Drosophila melanogaster: one gene and its partners. Changing the gene in region 3 together with the main gene of any one other region gives a genetic interaction. Each region holds a gene or a part of one and is shown on either strand. Other genes may lie near its edges. The genes, in order: Gale, Galk and Galt.

Region 1 (6,198 bases), on a different chromosome or scaffold from region 3:
AGAGCTTCAATCTTAAAGCTAATAATTATAGCTCTCCTTGAAAGTCGGGGAATTTAGTTTTAGTTCGGTATCTTAAGAGCAGTTTCAATGTTACAATGTTACGTTTTCCCCTTTGAAAATAGGGCATCTATGTGACCGAGGTGCACGAGGGCAGTCCCGCCGCCCGAGCAGGTCTGCGGATCCACGACAAGATCCTGCAGTGCAACGGCTACGACTTCACCATGGTCACCCACAAAAAGGCCGTGAGCTACATCCGGAAAAACCCGATACTCAACATGCTGGTGGCCCGCAAGGGCGTGACCTCCACATAAGTGGTGCTCGGAGCAGGGTCTCCACAGACTACAGCAGTATTTAAGCGGCATTTAAACTATCCCCTCCACCGCCCCTCTGGGCTACGGATCTCTTTGCCTCCTGCAACCTATGCGAATACTTAGAACTACCATATTATACATATTAATTCATTACGTATGCATATCGCACACACATGTAGCCAGACGTAAATGTAGCACCTAGTAATGCTTCTTGTTGAATTCGATTTCTTTGCCTCTCCATCACTTGTTGAACGAATCGCCAAGCTCCTAAGTGTAAAACAGATTGCCAAATACCGATACAAACAAACACTCCCAGAAACAACAGGCTCGAATATAAACAATTTTGTACTTTTATACGTGCAGACCATTCCAAAACCAAACAGAAGCAGCAGCCGAACGCAGAGTTGTTGAAAGAAACATACATTCATAGTACATACTTGTGATAAATGACTTTAACTGTGCAGATATGTGCGAAGAAGGCGCATCACTTAAGTTTAAAATTGAGTTTTTAATGTTATATTGCATTTGAATAAATGTTTGCTAAATAAATGTGCGAGTTAGACGTCTTCTTGTAACTTTGGTCAGCTTAATGTGATTATGCCATTTTTGATTAAGATCTGACAAATGGTTGATGCAGTTGTGTGTTTATTTTACCTAATGCCAAGTGTAATCTCCCAGTGCCACCTTGTCGGTGACCTTAATTACGTGATTGCGCCAATTGGCACGCGTCAATGATGCCAGCGGTCACCAAACGCGTAAATGACGGTCACAAAATTACATGACAACAGCGAAAAGCCTTTTTAATTACAAAGTACTTTGGATTACATACGCACACTTGCACACATCGAAGTGAGCGAATACTACACGAAATTTGGAAAGAAATATACACAACTAGAGGCAAATAGAAATTGCTACCTGAGCCATTATCAGGCGTAGTAACTCAGGAACTTGCGGAGCGGCAGGAACGTGGCGATATACAGCTCTACTTGTTGGCATACCCGTTTGGGTTCTGGCTCTGCCAGCGCCACGTGTCCTCGCACATCTTGTCGATGCCACGCTCGGCCTTCCAGCCCAGCTTCTTATCCGCCAACGTGGCGTCCGCATAGCAAGTGGCCACATCTCCGGACCGTCGGTCCACCAGAGTGTAGTTGACCTTCTTGCCGGAGGCCTTCTCAAACGCCTTCACCATGTCCAGCACCGAGTAGCCCACGCCGGTGCCCAAATTGTAGGCGAAAAAGCCCGTCTCCGCGATGTTGCGCAGCTTGTCCAACGCCTTTACGTGTCCCTCGGCCAGGTCCACGATGTGGATGTAATCGCGCACGCCGGTGCCGTCGTGCGTGGGAAAGTCGCTGCCGTAGACACTCAGGCTGGGACGTCGACCCACGGCCACCTGTGCGATGTAGGGCATCAGGTTGTTGGGCTCGCCGTTCGGATCCTCGCCAATCCGACCACTGATGTGGGCACCCACCGGGTTGAAGTACCGCAGCGAAACCACTGCCCAACGCTGAAAGAGCGAATTCTTTAGTACAGAACTTATGGACATCAAGAAATGACATCCTCCTACCTTGTCAGACTTGCACAGATCCTTGAGAATCTCCTCGGTGAAATATTTAGTCTTGCCGTAGGGCGATGTACAGTTGCCCGTGGGATGCTCCTCGGTCACGGGCAGGAACTTTGGCTCACCGTATACGGTGGCGCTGGAGCTGTACACGAACTTGAAGACATTGTTGTCGGCCATCGCCTCCAGCAGGACATTGGTGCCGGTCATGTTGTTGTGGTAGTACTGCAAAGGTATGCGGCAGGACTCACCCACGGCCTTCAGGGCGGCAAAGTGGGCCACCATGTCGATTTTGTGCTGAAAGGGATGTAAATATATGTACCTATTAGTTTGGGAAATCCAAATCTGTAATAACCAGCTCTTCAGTAAGCACAAGGATATTGCCTCTTATAAACGTAAAGTGCAGAATTTAATAGCAATTAAATGAAAGTATCACATTGATTTCAAGGTGATTTATTGACAAACAATTATGTGTTCTTTAAATAGCTGTTGATAGTGCTGATTAGGTAAAAAATTCCACCACAACAAATACTGCTCAATCTATTCAGTAATCAGTGCGCGTAAGCACAAAGCTGTGTGCATTTATGGTTGAATAAAAATATGAAAAAGTATCAGCTTAAGATATTTCATGGCTATTTGGGCAACAACGTGCATTTTTATAATGTTCATTACATGTAAATAAACGCTTTGTTTTTTATAAACGACGGTGGTTAACAAAAAAAACCCCTTTGATCGAACATCTCAAGAATGCGTGATAACCTGCTCGAATTAGCGAATTCTCTTGGTTATCAATGGATGTAAACACTGCAATCTGGGCTCCCGACCACCCAGATTGTAGTGTACGTGCCCGGGAGCTGTTGTGGATGTGGATGCCAGCGCACCAACTCGAATGCGACCTCGCCAAGTGGGTCTTTCATTCAGGGTCGATCAGCACGGCGGTTCGTCGGAAGTGCCCCGCCACTTGAGCAAACAACAAAACAAGCGCGAACGAGAAAAAAGCTGATAGCGCGCATGCCAGATAAGCTTGATTGAATGGTATCCAGTTGGCACATTTGCCCCAGAACCTCCGAACTGCTGACGTGCCAGCTATGTAATGCTACGTGTGCTCACCTCCTGGAAGACGGAGCGCACCTGCTCCCTGTCCGTGATGTCCACTCTATAGAAGTTGACCTTCTTGCCGGTGATTTCCTGCACCCGGCTGAGGGCCTCCGGCAGTTTGGCCCCGCTGCTGTAGGCGTTGCACAGGTTGTCCACGCAGATGACGTTGTAGCCCGCATTGAGCATCTCCAGAACCGTGTGGGAGCCAATGTAGCCGGCTCCTCCGGTGACCAGGACCGTGGGTGGGGCCATCCTAAGTGGCGAAAGGGGAAAACACACGAAATTAGGCCACACGAGTGCCCAGTTCTTATTGACGTCACCAAAATCGTTCGGCAGGCGTGCGAAATAGCCGTCTGCTTGGCGAAAAACGGGTAACTCACCTGTTTACAGGTGATTATGGTAGAGAATCCCCGCTCAGTGAATCAGATTGAGTTTAGCTAGACGCAAGAGACGTGCCCTTGAAACGATTCCGCCTCGGATTCCGATGCCTAAAAACAACGCCTCTGATCTCCGACGAGATTGCAGATGATGGTGTAGATGAAGATGCCAAAGATCGCTGACCGTTGAGTGCTATCGTGTGCTAACCCGTTTCTTGCACTCTTCCTCATTCATCTGTGTTGTCGTACGTCTGTTTTGATCTGCGGTCGCTGGCCAACTGAACTGGTGGCTCTCCACGGAGCCTATTTAACTTGTTCTCCGTTCTCCGAACGCGCACTTCTTATCAGTTTCGGTGGTTTGGTGGGCTCGGAGCTCTCCTGTCACTTTAATTCAAGTGCTAGCAGCAGGCTGACTTGGTCGACGGACGGCCGGGGTCACCTCGAAGTGCATCCTTATCGCCGCTGACCTTTGGCTCCCGATTCCATGCCCATTAATGCAATTTCCAGGTGCTCTTCACTTCGCTCTCCGAATAAAAGTAAACAAAGTGGTAGCGTTGCCACGCGACATGGCTCGTTCGACGCTGCCATATTCGCCGATTTTTCAGCTACCTGGCACAGTGGGATTCGTCTCGATAAATTTCTTGGCTGTCTATCGATATGAACAACTTAAAACAAGAAGTGCGCCCATATCGGTGTTTAAATGTGAAAACATTCTGGAGACGCGAATAGGGGTGGTAAAAAAATAGTTTTCATTATAAAGCGTATAAAATCACAAATCGTAATTAATTAAACATATGATAAGAGAATAACGCCAAATTCATAATGCAATGTAATTTTGTAACGCATTCTATCCCCAAGATAATAATCTTATATGATCTGGCATCACTGCCATGTGCTTCTGTAAAATTTACATGTAGATAAGTTGACATTTTACTTGACTGATAAACGGAGCAGATTCAAAATTAATTTTAAACTCGAAAAGCAAACGTTTGATAACAACAAACTTCAGTACAATGCGTACAACTACATCGTCATAAATAACTAGAACCGCAGTTCGGACAGCTTTTTGGTGACCCAAATTCGGTTCAAATCTTTAATGATAAGCGGAAGTGCATGTGCTCAATACGCAATGAAAAAGATCTCACAATGTTTACAACTTAATTGAGAATGTATTTGCGCAGCGACGAGTCTCTCAATGAAATGCGCCTGCTTTCGGTTCTGAATGAATGGAATGCATGAATGGGTCGAAAGCTTCGGAGCTTTAACCTAGATTGGCATTTGACCGGCTTTATCTTATGGTTTTTGGAGTGTCGATAATCGTTATTTGTTTGAATAGTTCTATCTCAGTCAATAAATCGTTTTTCTGATTATGGTTTCCGAATTCCATTTCAATTTATCGCTAAAAAAAATTGCGGCATAAGAGTCCCAAAATTAGAACAAACCGTAAAATACTGCTTCGGCATAATAATCTACATAATCATCTGGAAACGAATCGATTCTCGAATGCGGGAAAGCTCACTCGATAAGGAAGACGCAGTACATACATATACCGCAAGACCATGCTTACCGCACACCGCATGTACTACATACATACGTACATCTACATATATTTTGAGATTCTCGGGCGGCACACATATGTACATACTGACAACCGGAAATGAGTTAGTTGAACTTCCGGCATTGCTCGCCTCTGAATGGCGCTGGCCTGCAATATTTTTTTATGTGAGCGACAATAATTTGCACAGTCAGAGTCGCAGCCACAGAAACTGAACTGAAACAGAATTGGAAAGAGAAAGACAGAACGGACAAGTCTCCAAGTGGAAGTGGTCGATCCTAAAGCTACGTATTTGTACATAATGTGCTGCGGTCTAGTCTACATACATAAATATATATATATATATATGTATAGAAGCGAGCTCCCAATCCAATCCCGCCTGCACATATGGGGGAATTATCAGTTCGGTCCGAGAGTTGGATTGCTGTTATTGCTGGGGCTAAGGTTTTCGGGGGGTCTGGCCCGGCCCGTTAGCTATGTCCGTCTTCTTGTTTACTTACTGTACTTATATGTTTATTAGTATGTGATCTTTTATTTCAAACACTTTCCACTCCACGAATAGAATGCCAAACGAATAGAATTTCCTTGCTTACACTTATTGTAAATTTCGGTTATCCATCTTAATAAAACCAATTTTCCGCATTATTGTTTGTGCCCGATAATCATCTATGTATGTTCTGCGTTCCCTCAAAAGAGACCACCCCAGATAAGCACCGACTCTGGCACTTTAATTTGATCTCGGATCGGCAATGGGAAAATGAAGTAGGGAAATAGTGAAAGTGGTGCACTTTTCACATGGCCCAACGGAGACCGACTTGGAAACTGGGATCGCCCGGGCCACCATAAATGCTTATCACAAATTAAGCAATTTATACATATTTCGTGACGTTTTCTGGCAGAACCCGCATGGCCCGTCTAAAAGTTTTCAATTCCTAAATTGAAGATATGGAAAATTAAATTCAAAACGCACTTTTCTATGCGCGATCCGAAGTCGAGACTACATACATAAATTTATTACATTTATTAAATTTGTTACTTTGACTCAAAAAATTCGAAAAAATTGGACCACTCTTCTGAACTTTTCTGCCCACCTTTACTTAAGCTTATGACCTTAAGGATATTGTATTGTAACCTCATTACAAATTAAACTATATTAGAACACATAACATGAGAACCACCAATGCCACCAATATTGTATTGTTGAAATATATCTCTCTATTCATCTACTGTAATTGTAATACCCATGTTTCAATACAAAAGTACAATCTATGAAGAGTGAATCAAGTGAAGAGCCCGATT
Region 2 (7,388 bases), on a different chromosome or scaffold from region 3:
ACCAGCCCACCCAGTACTTCTCCGACTTGGACAGATCAATGCGCCAGGTGTAACTGAGAAGCAATCAATGAATAATTTGTGTTTTAACTAAAATAAAATAAATTGGACTACGTACTTTTTGGCCGCTTCGGTTGTCGATTTGGTCGTGTTGGGCTTCTTGAAATCCGCGCCAGCTGCGGCACTTTCTGAGGAGCCATCGGCGGCGTCATCGCCCGGCGGTGACGATTCTTCATCCTCCGAAATGCTAAACGGATTGGGAAACATACTGTTGTGGTGGGCCTCCTCCAATACATCATCTGGTAATGGCAGATCATTCGTTGCCAGTTTGTTCGTTGTACAACTGCGTGGGATTGATTTATTATTACTTTTCTGTCGTTTACGACAATCCTACTCACTTTATTATCTGTCCCGGCATGGACACTTTGGCGCTGTCCACATTGCGCACTTGGCCGCTTCGGATGCACCACTCGATAGCATTCGGAATACTCTGGAAATACTTTGGACGGGAGCGCAGAAAGCTCTGCATGCTGGCTAGTGCCTCCATGGCTGTGCCCTCCACAACATCGATGACGGTTATTCCAATCAAATTGGGCACCAGAGCCATGTGGGCAAAGTGGACGGCGATGGCGCCGCCCATCGAGTGGCCAACCACAAAAAGCTGCGGCACTTCTTCAGGATAGAGCTTCAGGATTAAGTCACCGATGTCCCTGTTTAGAATATTTTAAACATTATTATAGATTATAGATTAGATTATTATGGTTTTTAGCTTCAACCGTGAATAAAGTAACTATAAAAAACTAAATAATATTTACAAATGAGTGATCGTTCAAATAGATCGACCTACTTTAAGTGCAGTGCGCTATTTTTATAAATAAAGAGATTATGCAAGTTTAGCCTAATCGTTCATAAAGCTAAGAGTTAATGCGAGAAGTTTTACTCGACAAAATCTTAAAAATATTGGTTTTTAATGTAAGCAGTAGAAAAATTTGCATAACCATCTCTAAAACATATTTTGAGAACAATATTTTTTTGGATTCAACTCACTTAGCCAACGTATCAGCGGAGAGATCGTCCTCGTCGTCCACCTTGCTGTCCCCATGACCTCGCATATCGATGCACAGGCACTGGCAGTGGATCATGCTGGTCACCTCAGACTTAAATGGATATATGTACATGTTAAGACTATTTAACAGAATATATCGCATTCACTCACACAAAAGTGCGCCCAGGTGAGGGCAGAGTAGCCACCGCCGTGGAGCAGAAGGAGAACTGGACCCGGCTTCTCCGGTTGCTTGGTGCGATAGATGCGGAAGGTGCGTTGCTCATCCACCGTGACGTCCTCCTTCTCCGCAAAGAATTCGTTCCACATGCCCGGCTTGTAGTCGCGAATGCGCGACTTCTTGAACGAGTCCCTGTAATTAGCCAAATTGGGTAGAGATTGCGTACTCCCCACTCCAGTCGCAGAATACCCTGCACTTACGCTCTGCCAATGCGCCCGCCAGGAATTGTGGGTGGCAGCTTGCCCTTCAACATCGTGCGCTGTAAACTCGACATTGATCCGATTGTCTTCGCTGTGGGGTCAACAGGTGGTGCTCCTACGGTGCAGGTGCAAGTGGTTATTCACACAGTCGTTGCTCGCAATTATCCGTTTTCGAAAACAAAAAAATAGTTCCAATTCAACGAAGAAGTATTGCAGTGTGACCGTAATCGAGAAAACCGTAACTGACGCCAGCTGGCAGCGCTGGTTCAAGAGCTGCACTTGGCAATGCCCTTGTCTGGCAACGCCTAACCGCAACAGTCAACATTTCAAATTCCAAAACGGATATTTTAGGCTTTTGCAATCAAAGACGAAAATCCGTACCATACTGAAACAACAACAGTTGTATATTTTAATGTTTGTACATTTTAATCAATTAAGTATTTTAAAAGTTTATCTACGAAAAAATTGATGAGCTCCCCGAAACACTTGTACCTTATCAGCTTTGTAAATACTTCACATTAATGGCAAAATAATAAGCAAGGTAATAACCTTTCGCAAAGTGGATGTCAAAACCACTTTTTAAAGCAGACAAAATTTGGAAACCAGTTTTTTAGAATGCTAACAAGAAAGAATTCATATGCTATGAAGATGTTTGACCCATTTAACGGTAAAGACAGCTAGTTATAAACTAACAAAGCTCTCAACAAGTTCCTACTGATACACACAGTGCAACATCGCTAGCTGGGAAACTGGTGTTCTATAAGGTCTCCGAGCATTTATATTTCAGTAATGCTACTGATAAGGAAGTATCACTTTATTGTTCATAGTATTCCGGACTAAGCAAAAACGGAAACGGAACGGGCCGGATTGCTCAGTTGCTTGATGGAACGCGACGTGCTCACACCGAAAACTAGAACTCCTCTCTGATAAGACGGCACCAAGTTAATTTGACCTCAAACAGAGAAAGATAAGGCATTGTTGGGTATGTATCGGCAAAAGTGTAAAAATCTTGACAAAATCCTTTATATCTGTGTTTATTCTGGTATGTAAACAAAAGGTAAGCTCAATACAGGTTAAGTTTATGGTTTCGAGATAAGATAAATGTCATGTTTGTCATTAATGGTCTATTTAGATTATGCGGCAGTAAGTTTAAGCGGTAGTACTTTTGAAAAACAATTACCAGCTAAGAACTTTATTGCCAAATAATTTACTATTAGTTGGGACTAGACATAAACATCAATTTCGCGGATAAATATTCAAAATAAAATCTTTATCCATTGCGCATTTCAAGGGTTAATGCTTCTGCAAGCCTGGCAACTCCTAAATAACAGCTGTTGGCTATAGTCCTCTCGCTCCCGCACACCCTTCCTTTTCATTTACCGGCAGAAATTGCACTTTTGTACTTGTTTTTTGCCCAATTAAGCGGTCAAATTGGCGTCAATCTAATGTTTTAGTGACTTTGATGCCGTTTCCCCAACTGATAACCGCAATGTTAGTACATCACTTTGTGTGCTAATAGCTATTTGGACATATTGATAAGGTGAGATGGGTTGATAAGCTAATTTTTGCACAACCACAGGTGCAATTGTTTTTCCCTTTGCCACGGCTATTTGTTTACGTATGTAAATTTGTTTTTGCCCATAAATTTAGATTAACCAGTTGCGACACGTTTACGGTTCGTCGACTGCGAAAATAATGGGCATTATTAAAGTTTCACCCGCCTGCAGGTGAACATGACTGCCAACGGGAACGGAACTGCTCAGGATTTGGGTGCCGGCATTGAAATCGTGGCCCCACAGAAGCTCCAGCCGGAATCCAAGGTTTACGGGCGCGTGCAGCAATTGACCGCATTTTTCAAACAACAATTCGGAGCGAATCCGGACTTTATCGTTCGAGTGCCAGGAAGGTGAGCAGTTCCACTCGTGGTGCACATCTATAGTCCCTTATCGATGATATCTCCTCCTTCTCCTAGGGTCAACATCATTGGCGAGCATGTGGACTACTGCGGCTATTCGGTGCTGCCCATGGCTGTAAGCCAGAGCATTTTCCTTGCAGTGGCCAAGAATCCTAGTGATAGCCAGCTTCAACTCAGAAATCTCGAGGAAGCGAAGTTTACGGGCTACGATGCCGATCTCAAAACGCTCAGGTGGGTGAATCAGAAACATGATAATTACCGACCTTAAGCACTAGAAAATTTTCCATTTAATTTGTTATAATAACAATGTCACCTTGAAGGCGGTATCTAAACGAATTTAGAAATGATAAGTCCAAATATTTTTTTGCTATTTTAGAATCGAGCTTCCAAAGAGTGGTGGACCCGCTTGGTATAACTACTTCTTGTGCGGCATCAAAGGAATACAGGAGAGTCTGGGCAGCCAGTGGAAGCCCATTGGCATGCGCATTGCTGTGGACGGTAATGTGCCCTTGGCGGCAGGACTCTCCAGTTCGAGTGCCATGGTCAGCTCCGCTGTGTTGGCCACCGCACACGTCCAGGGCAAGAAACTAGATCGCAGGGAGCTGGCTTCCATTTCGGCCATGTGTGAGCAGTACATTGGAACGCACAGTGGTGGTATGGATCAGGCAATAGCCTATTTGGGCAGAGTTGGCTGCGCCCACCACATCGAGTTCCATCCCAAGCTCAAGGGCACTCCGGTGACCTTGCCAGCGGGCAAGTGCTTCGTTGTGGCCAACAGTCTGGCTCAAAAGAACAAGGCTGCTTCGTCGGACTACAATGAACGAGTGGTGGAATGCCGATTGGCCACTAGATGGCTGGCCAAGCGCAAGGGCTTGATCAACTGGGAGGATATTGTGCGCTTCATTGATCTAGAGGAGGCGTGCCAAATGGATAATGAGACTTTCGAGAAGTTGATTAAGGACAACTTAACGAAGAGCAACTACACGCGAGCGGATATCTGCAAGGAGTTGGGAGTCACCGAACAGGAACTGGAGACCAAGTTCCTATCCGCCAACACTCGGCACATGGAGCAGTTCAAGCTGCGTCAACGTGCTCTGCATGTTATTCAGGGTAAGTTAATCATTTACAATCAGGATTTCACATTTAATCTGAATCATTACGTGTACATTAAATTTATTGATCACCAAATGAATAATTACAGTCAATTAATAATACGTTGACATTCATTTGTTGTCCGAAAGATTTAAACTCTTAGCAAATAATATTAAATTGCAAGATCAGTTAATAACATTGTTTCCGCCTAACAGAATCCGGTCGCGTGGCCAAATTCCGGAAAATTTGTGAGGAACTCGCCGGCGGAGCCAATAAGGAAGGTGCAAAACAGCTGGGTGAGCTCATGCGGCAATCCCACGAGAGTTTAAGGGAGCTATACGAATGCTCTCATCCTGATGTAGAGCGCCTGATTGCCATATCGAACCAGCAGAACGTTAGCGCCCGAGTCACTGGAGCTGGGTAAGAAAACCGATATCCTAGTGACTCTATGAATTTAATCAACATTATTCTTTTTCAGTTGGGGCGGTTGTATAGTTGCCATGTGCGATTCCATAGAAGCAGCTGATGAGTACATAAAGGTTTTGAAGCGCGATTACTATGCTCAATTGCCAACACATCTCCTGGAGCGTCATCAGCCCAACAACTTTAGCGAAGTGGTCTTTGCCACTCTACCAGGAAACGGAGCCGAGTTGTATATACAGTGAACGCTTGTGTAGCATTTTAATCCAACTTTTATACCAAAATCATCCTATCAGTCACTATAATCAAACGGTCATTTATAGAAAAAACATTTAATATGTAGAGTACTATGTACAATATATTAACAATTTACAAGCTAAAATACAACAAGGCACGTGGGGAACGGAACTCATCTGGCATCGTGAGTTCTATCTGCTACTCAGATAGCCGGCGTTCTTGAAGAGCTTGTACACCTGTTCGCGCGGTATTTTCTCCGCCTCACGATGTACCACTGCCATTTCCTTCTTCGTGAGCAGTGATTCCTTGGCCAGATTGGCAGCGATCACGGGATCATTGTAGAACCGCGCACTCTTCGACAGCTCAGCCGGCAACTCAGACTCCCACTGGGCATTTCGCACCACCGAGGGATGGGCATCGGCTGTTGCATATCCCTGGTACGGATTGGCCGGTTCGTAAGCGTGCGCAACCGGCAGACCCAGCGCCTGGTGGTAGAAGAACTGGGCCCGAACCGAACTCATGGCCAGAAGCAGGCATCCAGCGAGCAGCGTTACTTGGCAGGCGGTCGGCATGATTGGCTGCTGGAGGGGAGAAAAGGAGCAGGAGCTGGCATTATTGTCCAACGTTCTAATAAAGCGATACGGACAGATTTATTGCCGCTGGTCAGTGGCAGTTTTTAATCTACAAGTCGGCTGTCAGTTTCGTGCGTCATAAATTATGTACGGGAAAATCAATTATCGCATATGGCCAATGGAGTGGGCAACGCGGAGATCTTGGCTCAAACTGTTACAGTTGCTAATCCATGAACTTTTTTGCAACTTGGAACTGGCTTTTTTTTATTGATAAGAATTGGACTGGCCGCGAACTAAATGGCGAGCTTTATTTGTCAAGCGTAGAGTGCTCCAATTTGGTCGCAACAAAGCAATCGTAGCTTGAGATATAAGTACAGTGGTCTCTCTAGAACTCTTTTGAGATTTTAATTGCAATTGGGTAATTTGCTATAAGGATTGGTGAAAATATTATTTTTTATTTTACGTTATAATGACATTATCGAAGATGCATTTACCAAATGTATTAATTAAGAATACGTTAGCAATGAAATTGATTTAAATCATGATCATCCTTTTTAGGCTTTGATATATTCACTTCGAACTGAAACCCTGATATAATCCTTGAAAATGTGACATTCGTTATTAGATTATACACTCTTTAAACCTTTCTACTTTTTAATGATCACAGCCACTGTACATGCATTTTTATTATGCGCCATTAAATGCATTTACATATTCCAAGTCCAAATTGATACGTTGATTCAGCCAAAGTCAAGGTTACGATCCCACACAACCGAATCGGATTTCGGTTCTCCAAAAAGCACCCACTCGCACAAACACACGACACTCACTCACTTTGATCTGGACTTATTTCAACGGCTAATCCTCGAGAGAAGCACTTCAAATGAAACTGGAACACCTGGGTGAAGTTGAGACTGTAAACTGATCATAGAATATCGAGACGGCGAACTTTTATTCGCTTGCCGTTGAATGCCACAAAAACGAGTTGAACTCAAGTCTGTGAGTCAACCGATTTTCGAATCTCGCTCAAAGCGCCGCTTCTGAGCGCCGAGAATGAGTCAAGTTTTTTTTTCAGACCAGGCTGCTGCTTTACATTTTATTAAATTAATTATGGTCGCAGTGGAGTGGATTGGATTGGATTGAAGTGTAGAGTAGAGTGGAGCGAAGCGGAGGGGACTGCAATTCTGGTACAGACTGACCTAGGCCTAGGCGCTCAGCTTGGGCAATTAAAAGCAATGATATCTGTCTCCGTTTCTCATGCTCCATAAAAGTGCCCCCCAAAAAAGGTCGGACTGCCAGTCGGCAGCGTTATACGCATGGCAAAAGTCGCACAGATATATATCAACGTGCACCATATACAAATACTCGCAAAAACAATAGTTTGAACAATTGATAACTCAATTGGTTTATTATTATTCAAAGATTATTCATCGCAGCACAGAAATAAATATTATATGTTTAACTTTTTAAAAGGATAACTTTCATATAATACAATATCATTCCATTTAAAATTGTATACATAACAAATTTTTGACAGTATTTTGTATATTTTCCAATCACATATTAAATGTATGTATTTTCACAACTAATGCCCGATTTCGTGCACTGTATAGGTAGTAGTGCGATTACAATGATTGACAAGTTTGCTCAGAATCCATGTCCGACTCAATCC
Region 3 (5,177 bases):
AAGAAACTTTGACTTGGCATTCATATATTCGACACTTATTTTACATCGAGTACAGACAGGCACTCTCATATATCATGAAGTTTTTTCAATGTTGTTTTTATTTTGGCAAACAGTCTTCTCGTTCCATCAAAAACAAGAATGTGGTGGCCCTGGAGATGTTACCCAGGCGCTCAAACCCAGAAACGATCGGCGATGGATCCATGTTGGCATCCACATCCACGGCTGTTATGCTGCAGACCAAAAAGCCCGCCGTTATTGTGGAGATGGAGAGGCGTTGTAAGATCATCAATTTACTGGCCAAACAGAATCAAATCCTCGAATCCATTTCGGGGGAGGCCATTCCGATGCATGGACCCTCGAAGCATCTGCACGAGGACGAGGGTCTGACCCTGCAAGTTCTCTCGGCCCGAGCATCCACACCGTACACACAGCCCTCCAGCATGTTGTCCTGCACGGCCGTTAGTTGTGACCTGGAGCACGATTCGCCGCGGAAGCAAGTGGCCAGCAAGGAGGCCGTGCCGGAGCAGCAGTCTAGTCAGGTGCAGCAAAAGCGTCCACCCAGCACAGGCATTCACAAGCCAGGAAGTCTGCGAGCACCCAAGGCTGTTCGTCCTACTACTGCTCCGGTGGTCAGCAGCAAGCCGGTCAAGAGCTATACCCGCTCCCGCCTGATGGACATTCGCAACGGGATGTTCAATGCCCTGATGCACAGGTCCAAGGAGAGCTTTGTGATGCCTCGCATCGCCACCTGCGACGACATTGAGTTGGAGGGAAGGCTTCGCCGCATGAATATTTGGCGCACCTCGGACGGCACAAGATTCCGGACCCGCTCCACCACAGCTAACTTAAACATGAACAACAACAACAACAATGAGTGCATGCCTGCCTTCTTCAAAAACAAAAATAAGCCGAACCTAATCAGTGACGAGTCCATCATCCAGAGCCAACCGCCCCAGCCGCAAACGGAGTTCCAAGTAAGCTAGTTAAACTTATACTATTCTACTCAATTTTGCCATATATTCTATATAAAATAGACTTGGTTAGCTTAATGGAAAACTTATGATTTGAAAAGGAAAAAGTGATTGTGACAGTGCGGTAATTGTTACAGTTACACATGGCGTCGATTCATTTGAGTACCTCGACCATCTGATACCCCTTCCTTTGTAGGCCAAATTGTCTTTTTGGTCTGCTCAGAAAAGCTCTTTTATGAAAAATCATATTTCCCGCCTTTTCTGCTTAGAAAAAATCGCTTAATCGATTAAGAACATTTTCCCCACTTTTGCATTAGGTAACACAAAGTCGCATTATTCCTGAGCTTATCTGATAAATCAATGATTGCATTGCATGACCTCCAGAGGTCTTTGGCAATCATGCTGATCATTGGCTGGACCCTCGCCACAGTCAAATCACTAATCTAGAACATTTTACAACTGATTGCGAATAAGTATGAAGTAATTACTACAGTCGTATTAGACTATTTCCTTTTATTGAATTCTAAACCATCTGGGATTCTACAAATACCCTCGAGCGAAATCACTTCTCTAGATAATGACACTTTCCATCGACCTCCCGCAACCTTTGGGCTGCCTGTTCGGGAGTCAGATCCCGCTGGGCCATGGCCAGCAGCTCAAATCCCACCATGAACTTGCGCACGGAGGCAGAACGAAGCAGCGGCGGATAGTAGATGGCGTGCAGGGTCCAATGAGCACTGGATGCGTGGGCATGCTCCGGCCCAGTCGGTGCTCCATGCCAACCCATCGAGTAGGGGAATGAACACTGGAACAGATTGTCATACTTGGTGGTCAGCTCCTTTATGGTCAGCGCCAAGTTGTATCGCTGTTCTGCGGTAAGATCATTGATCCGCTTATTGTTGTTGCGTGAGATGAGCATGGTTTCGAAGGGCCAAGTGGCCCAGAAGGGCACCACCACCAACCAGTCGCGATTCTCAATGACAATCCGCTCCTGGCGCTGCAGCTCACGCTCCACATAGTCGGCCAGCATGGGCCGCTCGTTGGTGGCGTAGTAGGCACGCAGACGCTCCTGCTTCAGTTGCGGTTCCGTCGGCAGAAACGAGCATGACCAGATCTGGCAGTGCGGATGGGGATTGGAACACCCCATGGCGGCTCCCTTGTTCTCGAATATCTGCACCCACGCGTACTTGGCGCTAAGCTCGTTGAACTGGCTGATCCACCTAGATAGGCAGTTAGATAAAAAGTGGGTTTATTATTTTGAGTATCTTCTGATATAAACCATAAATCCTCCACTTACTCGTCGATAACAACGACGATTTCCGCTGCACTCATCGTGGGCAAAGTCAGATTCGATTTGGGATGGAAGCACATCACTCGGCAGTTGCCACGGGCGGGAGCTATCTGGAACAGTGGATCATCGTTGTTGGGCGGAACGGGCACCACCTCCACCAGGGCCGGGAAGTCGTTCTCAAACACATAGGTGCTCTCATATTCCGGAGTTTGCTGATCATTTACAAAATATACACGTGAGAATGCTTAAAACATTTGCGAGGATTTAGTTTGGTCGCTTACGATTCCATTGGGTCTGGTGACGCCAGGGCACAGAGGATTGGTGGGATCGAATTCGGGCAGCTCGTTCTTCTGCGCCTTCTCCTGCTGACCCGACCAAGGGCGTTGGGTGCGATGTGGGCACACTAGGACCCATTGGCCGTTCAACGGATTTAGACGTCGGTGCGGGTGCTCTGCAATGACATTCGATTTTAATTAAGATTGAGCAGCGATAAACCAGACCATTGATTTGGAACTAATTGTTGATCAACATATGACCATTCGCCATAGAAACTGAATCAAATTGGCATGGTGGAACTTCTTTTAAACCTACCACTGGCCACAAACTGCATCGTGTCGAAAGACTGGCGCTCCGTATCACTCCGATCGGATTATGACTACTTCAGATTCACGGGACAAGCCCAATGTCAACCTGCCGCGTTGCGATTACAGCTCCTAATGCTGCTGATATTGGTGTTCCGATTGTGATTCTGCTTTTGCTTCTGAATCCGATTCCAGTTGAGCTGTTTTTCGCTTAGCAAAGCGCGCTTCTTCAGCTACATTCCTCTCTTTTCTCTCTTCGGATTATTCCGCTCACTCTGCCGGCGAGCGTTTAGTTTGAGTTTGGCACGCATTCCGCCTTTCAGTGGAAGAATTTTCCATCAGCCTTATCTCTCCCACTCAGCTGGGCGTTCTGATATGGGTGTGTAAACAGTGTGAGCGCGATTGTGTGTGCCGCTAGTGATGCGCGGTGGTCGATAAGACGTCCATAGAGATGGCTGTTTAATGTTTAAATAAGTATAGTTATATTTATATTTTATGCAGTATCTGTTTGCCTAATTATTGTGATTGGAACAAACTGTTTCCTAAAGTCTATTCAGCTATATTGCAATCACTGTAATCTAATTTCTTTAAAACTTATTAGCTAAGTAAGAGGTATATGATAGCCGAGAGAATTTTAAAGTTTTATGGAAAAATCTACAGATATTCGAATAATTATTTCAGGATCCGGCCATTGTTAACCAAAGACGCATTGGCAGCGGTCGCTTAAACCATTCCAAGTGGGGTTACAACGACGAAGACTACCACTCGTACCACAATGGCAAGTCGCAGCATATGGAGGAGGTCAACTCGAAGAACAGCAAAAACATGACGGTGCTGCAGTTCTTCGACAACGGCGAGATCAGCAGTCAGCCTCAAAGACGGCCGAACACTCCTGTGATGGGGATGTCTATCAATCGATCCGAGAACGACACCCTGCACTCGAACGAGTCCAGTGAAGATTTGAGTCGCGCCAACGAGAACTATGTAAAGCGCGTAATGTCTGGATTCCTGGTTGTATCGAAGCCCAAGTCACGAGATGTCGAGGATAGACATCACCGGCGGTACAGGAACCAGAACGAGGAGCCTGAGTGGTTTAGCTGTGGACCCACGTCTAGACTGGACACTATAGAGTTGTGTGGGTTCGATGAGGACGAGGAGAAAATGCTAAAGGAGGGCAACAAAAACCACGGATTAGGCGAAACAGAGCGAGAAACGTCAAAACAAAAGGTTAGTATTATGCACTTAGTTCAATCCATGACGCAATCTATAAGATAACTCGTTTCAGATGGACCATAAGTACAAATGGACGCATGCGGAGCCGATGGGTCGAAGCAAATACATGCCCAAACACGACACTAACAATAATCATAACGTGGAGAACATGAATAATGTTATGGCTACCGAGCATCAGCAACAAAAGGAAGAGAAACGCCCAGGCAGTGGCCGTTCGTTTCAGTTTGATAAGTTCAATCAAAGCCAACAGAATTACGAGAGTAGCAGTTATGTTAATCACCAACAGCCGCCGCAAACGCAGCCTCAGCAAATGCAGCAGCAGTCGAACACAAACACGAACAACTCTAAATTCATGTCATTCTTTGCCAATGAGGGGAACTCCTCGTCTTCTTCGCTGAACGAGTTTTTCAAGCAGGCCATTAACCAGGGTCATGGCAACAATCCGGAGCAGCCCAAATCGTTGGGCCACATCGGACAGATGCCTTCGGTGGATCAGCTGGAGGCCAAATGGCGTCGAAACTCACTGAACAATGTTGGCGAGACTGCCAACAAGCAGACTGATAACTTCCAGAAGCTAATTGGGTCTCTTTCTTCGGCTAAGCCACAGTCACAGGCGGTTGGCTATGATGCCATCTCCAACTTTATAATGCAGCAACAGCAGTACCAGCAGCAGCAACAGAAGCAGCACCTCATCATACAGCAGCAGCAGCAACATACCGCCTTTTTGGCGAGCCTGCAGCTGAAGGCGATCCTCGGCCGGGCCGACACCCAATTGCTACTGCTCCGTCTGACTAAAGGTGACGATTGGATGATGAAAACAAAGTTAGTTCCATGTTTTCAATATGATTCTTTGGTTTGTTTACTTCCCAGGGGAAATATCCAAGCACGGATTGCTGGTGCAGTTGGCCAACCCACGCTTGACGGACATGGATCGCGAGGCCATCACTGCTGTATTGCAGTTCACCAACACCCAGCAGCAGCAGCAGCAGCACAAGCAGCAGCTGGACATGCTCTCAAGCACGGTCATCGCCAGCCAGTTGCAGAATCTCCACAACTTGGCCATTGTCCAGCAGACTCTTGCAGCCAGGCAGCAGCCGCAGC

What was found.
Region 1: of Galt (region 3) and Gale, changing one enhances a phenotype caused by changing the other (phenotypic enhancement), as found in Drosophila melanogaster (one study listed by BioGRID).
Region 2: of Galt (region 3) and Galk, changing one suppresses a phenotype caused by changing the other (phenotypic suppression), as found in Drosophila melanogaster (one study listed by BioGRID).

What each region holds. Positions count from the first base shown.
Region 1 is NT_037436.4:646,201-652,398, reverse strand, and holds Gale (UDP-galactose 4'-epimerase), read right to left. Parts: upstream 3,845-6,198; 5' UTR 3,348-3,844; intron 3,221-3,347; 5' UTR 3,220-3,220; coding exon 2,980-3,219; intron 2,167-2,979; coding exon 1,876-2,166; intron 1,816-1,875; coding exon 1,294-1,815; 3' UTR 1,088-1,293; downstream 1-1,087. Other genes in the region: CG3402 (uncharacterized protein), read left to right, coding at 123-311. UniProt on the Drosophila melanogaster protein: Catalyzes two distinct but analogous reactions: the reversible epimerization of UDP-glucose to UDP-galactose and the reversible epimerization of UDP-N-acetylglucosamine to UDP-N-acetylgalactosamine.
Region 2 is NT_037436.4:8,981,051-8,988,438, reverse strand, and holds Galk (galactokinase), read left to right. Parts: upstream 1-2,347; 5' UTR 2,348-2,462; intron 2,463-2,622; exon of another isoform or gene 2,623-3,020; intron 3,021-3,130; exon of another isoform or gene 3,131-3,207; 5' UTR 3,208-3,213; coding exon 3,214-3,386; intron 3,387-3,452; coding exon 3,453-3,626; intron 3,627-3,771; coding exon 3,772-4,505; intron 4,506-4,702; coding exon 4,703-4,907; intron 4,908-4,965; coding exon 4,966-5,152; 3' UTR 5,153-5,335; coding exon of another isoform or gene 5,336-5,716; 3' UTR 5,717-6,227; downstream 6,228-7,388. Other genes in the region: CG5068 (uncharacterized protein), read right to left, coding at 1-53, 116-340, 396-707, 1,045-1,154, 1,214-1,412, 1,481-1,554; CG13314 (uncharacterized protein), read right to left, coding at 5,336-5,716.
Region 3 is NT_033779.5:6,664,818-6,669,994, forward strand, and holds Galt (Galactose-1-phosphate uridylyltransferase), read right to left. Parts: upstream 3,217-5,177; 5' UTR 2,873-3,216; coding exon 2,854-2,872; intron 2,714-2,853; coding exon 2,544-2,713; intron 2,475-2,543; coding exon 2,269-2,474; intron 2,192-2,268; coding exon 1,534-2,191; 3' UTR 1,447-1,533; downstream 1-1,446. Other genes in the region: cup, read left to right, coding at 114-974, 3,525-4,070, 4,129-4,873, 4,947-5,177.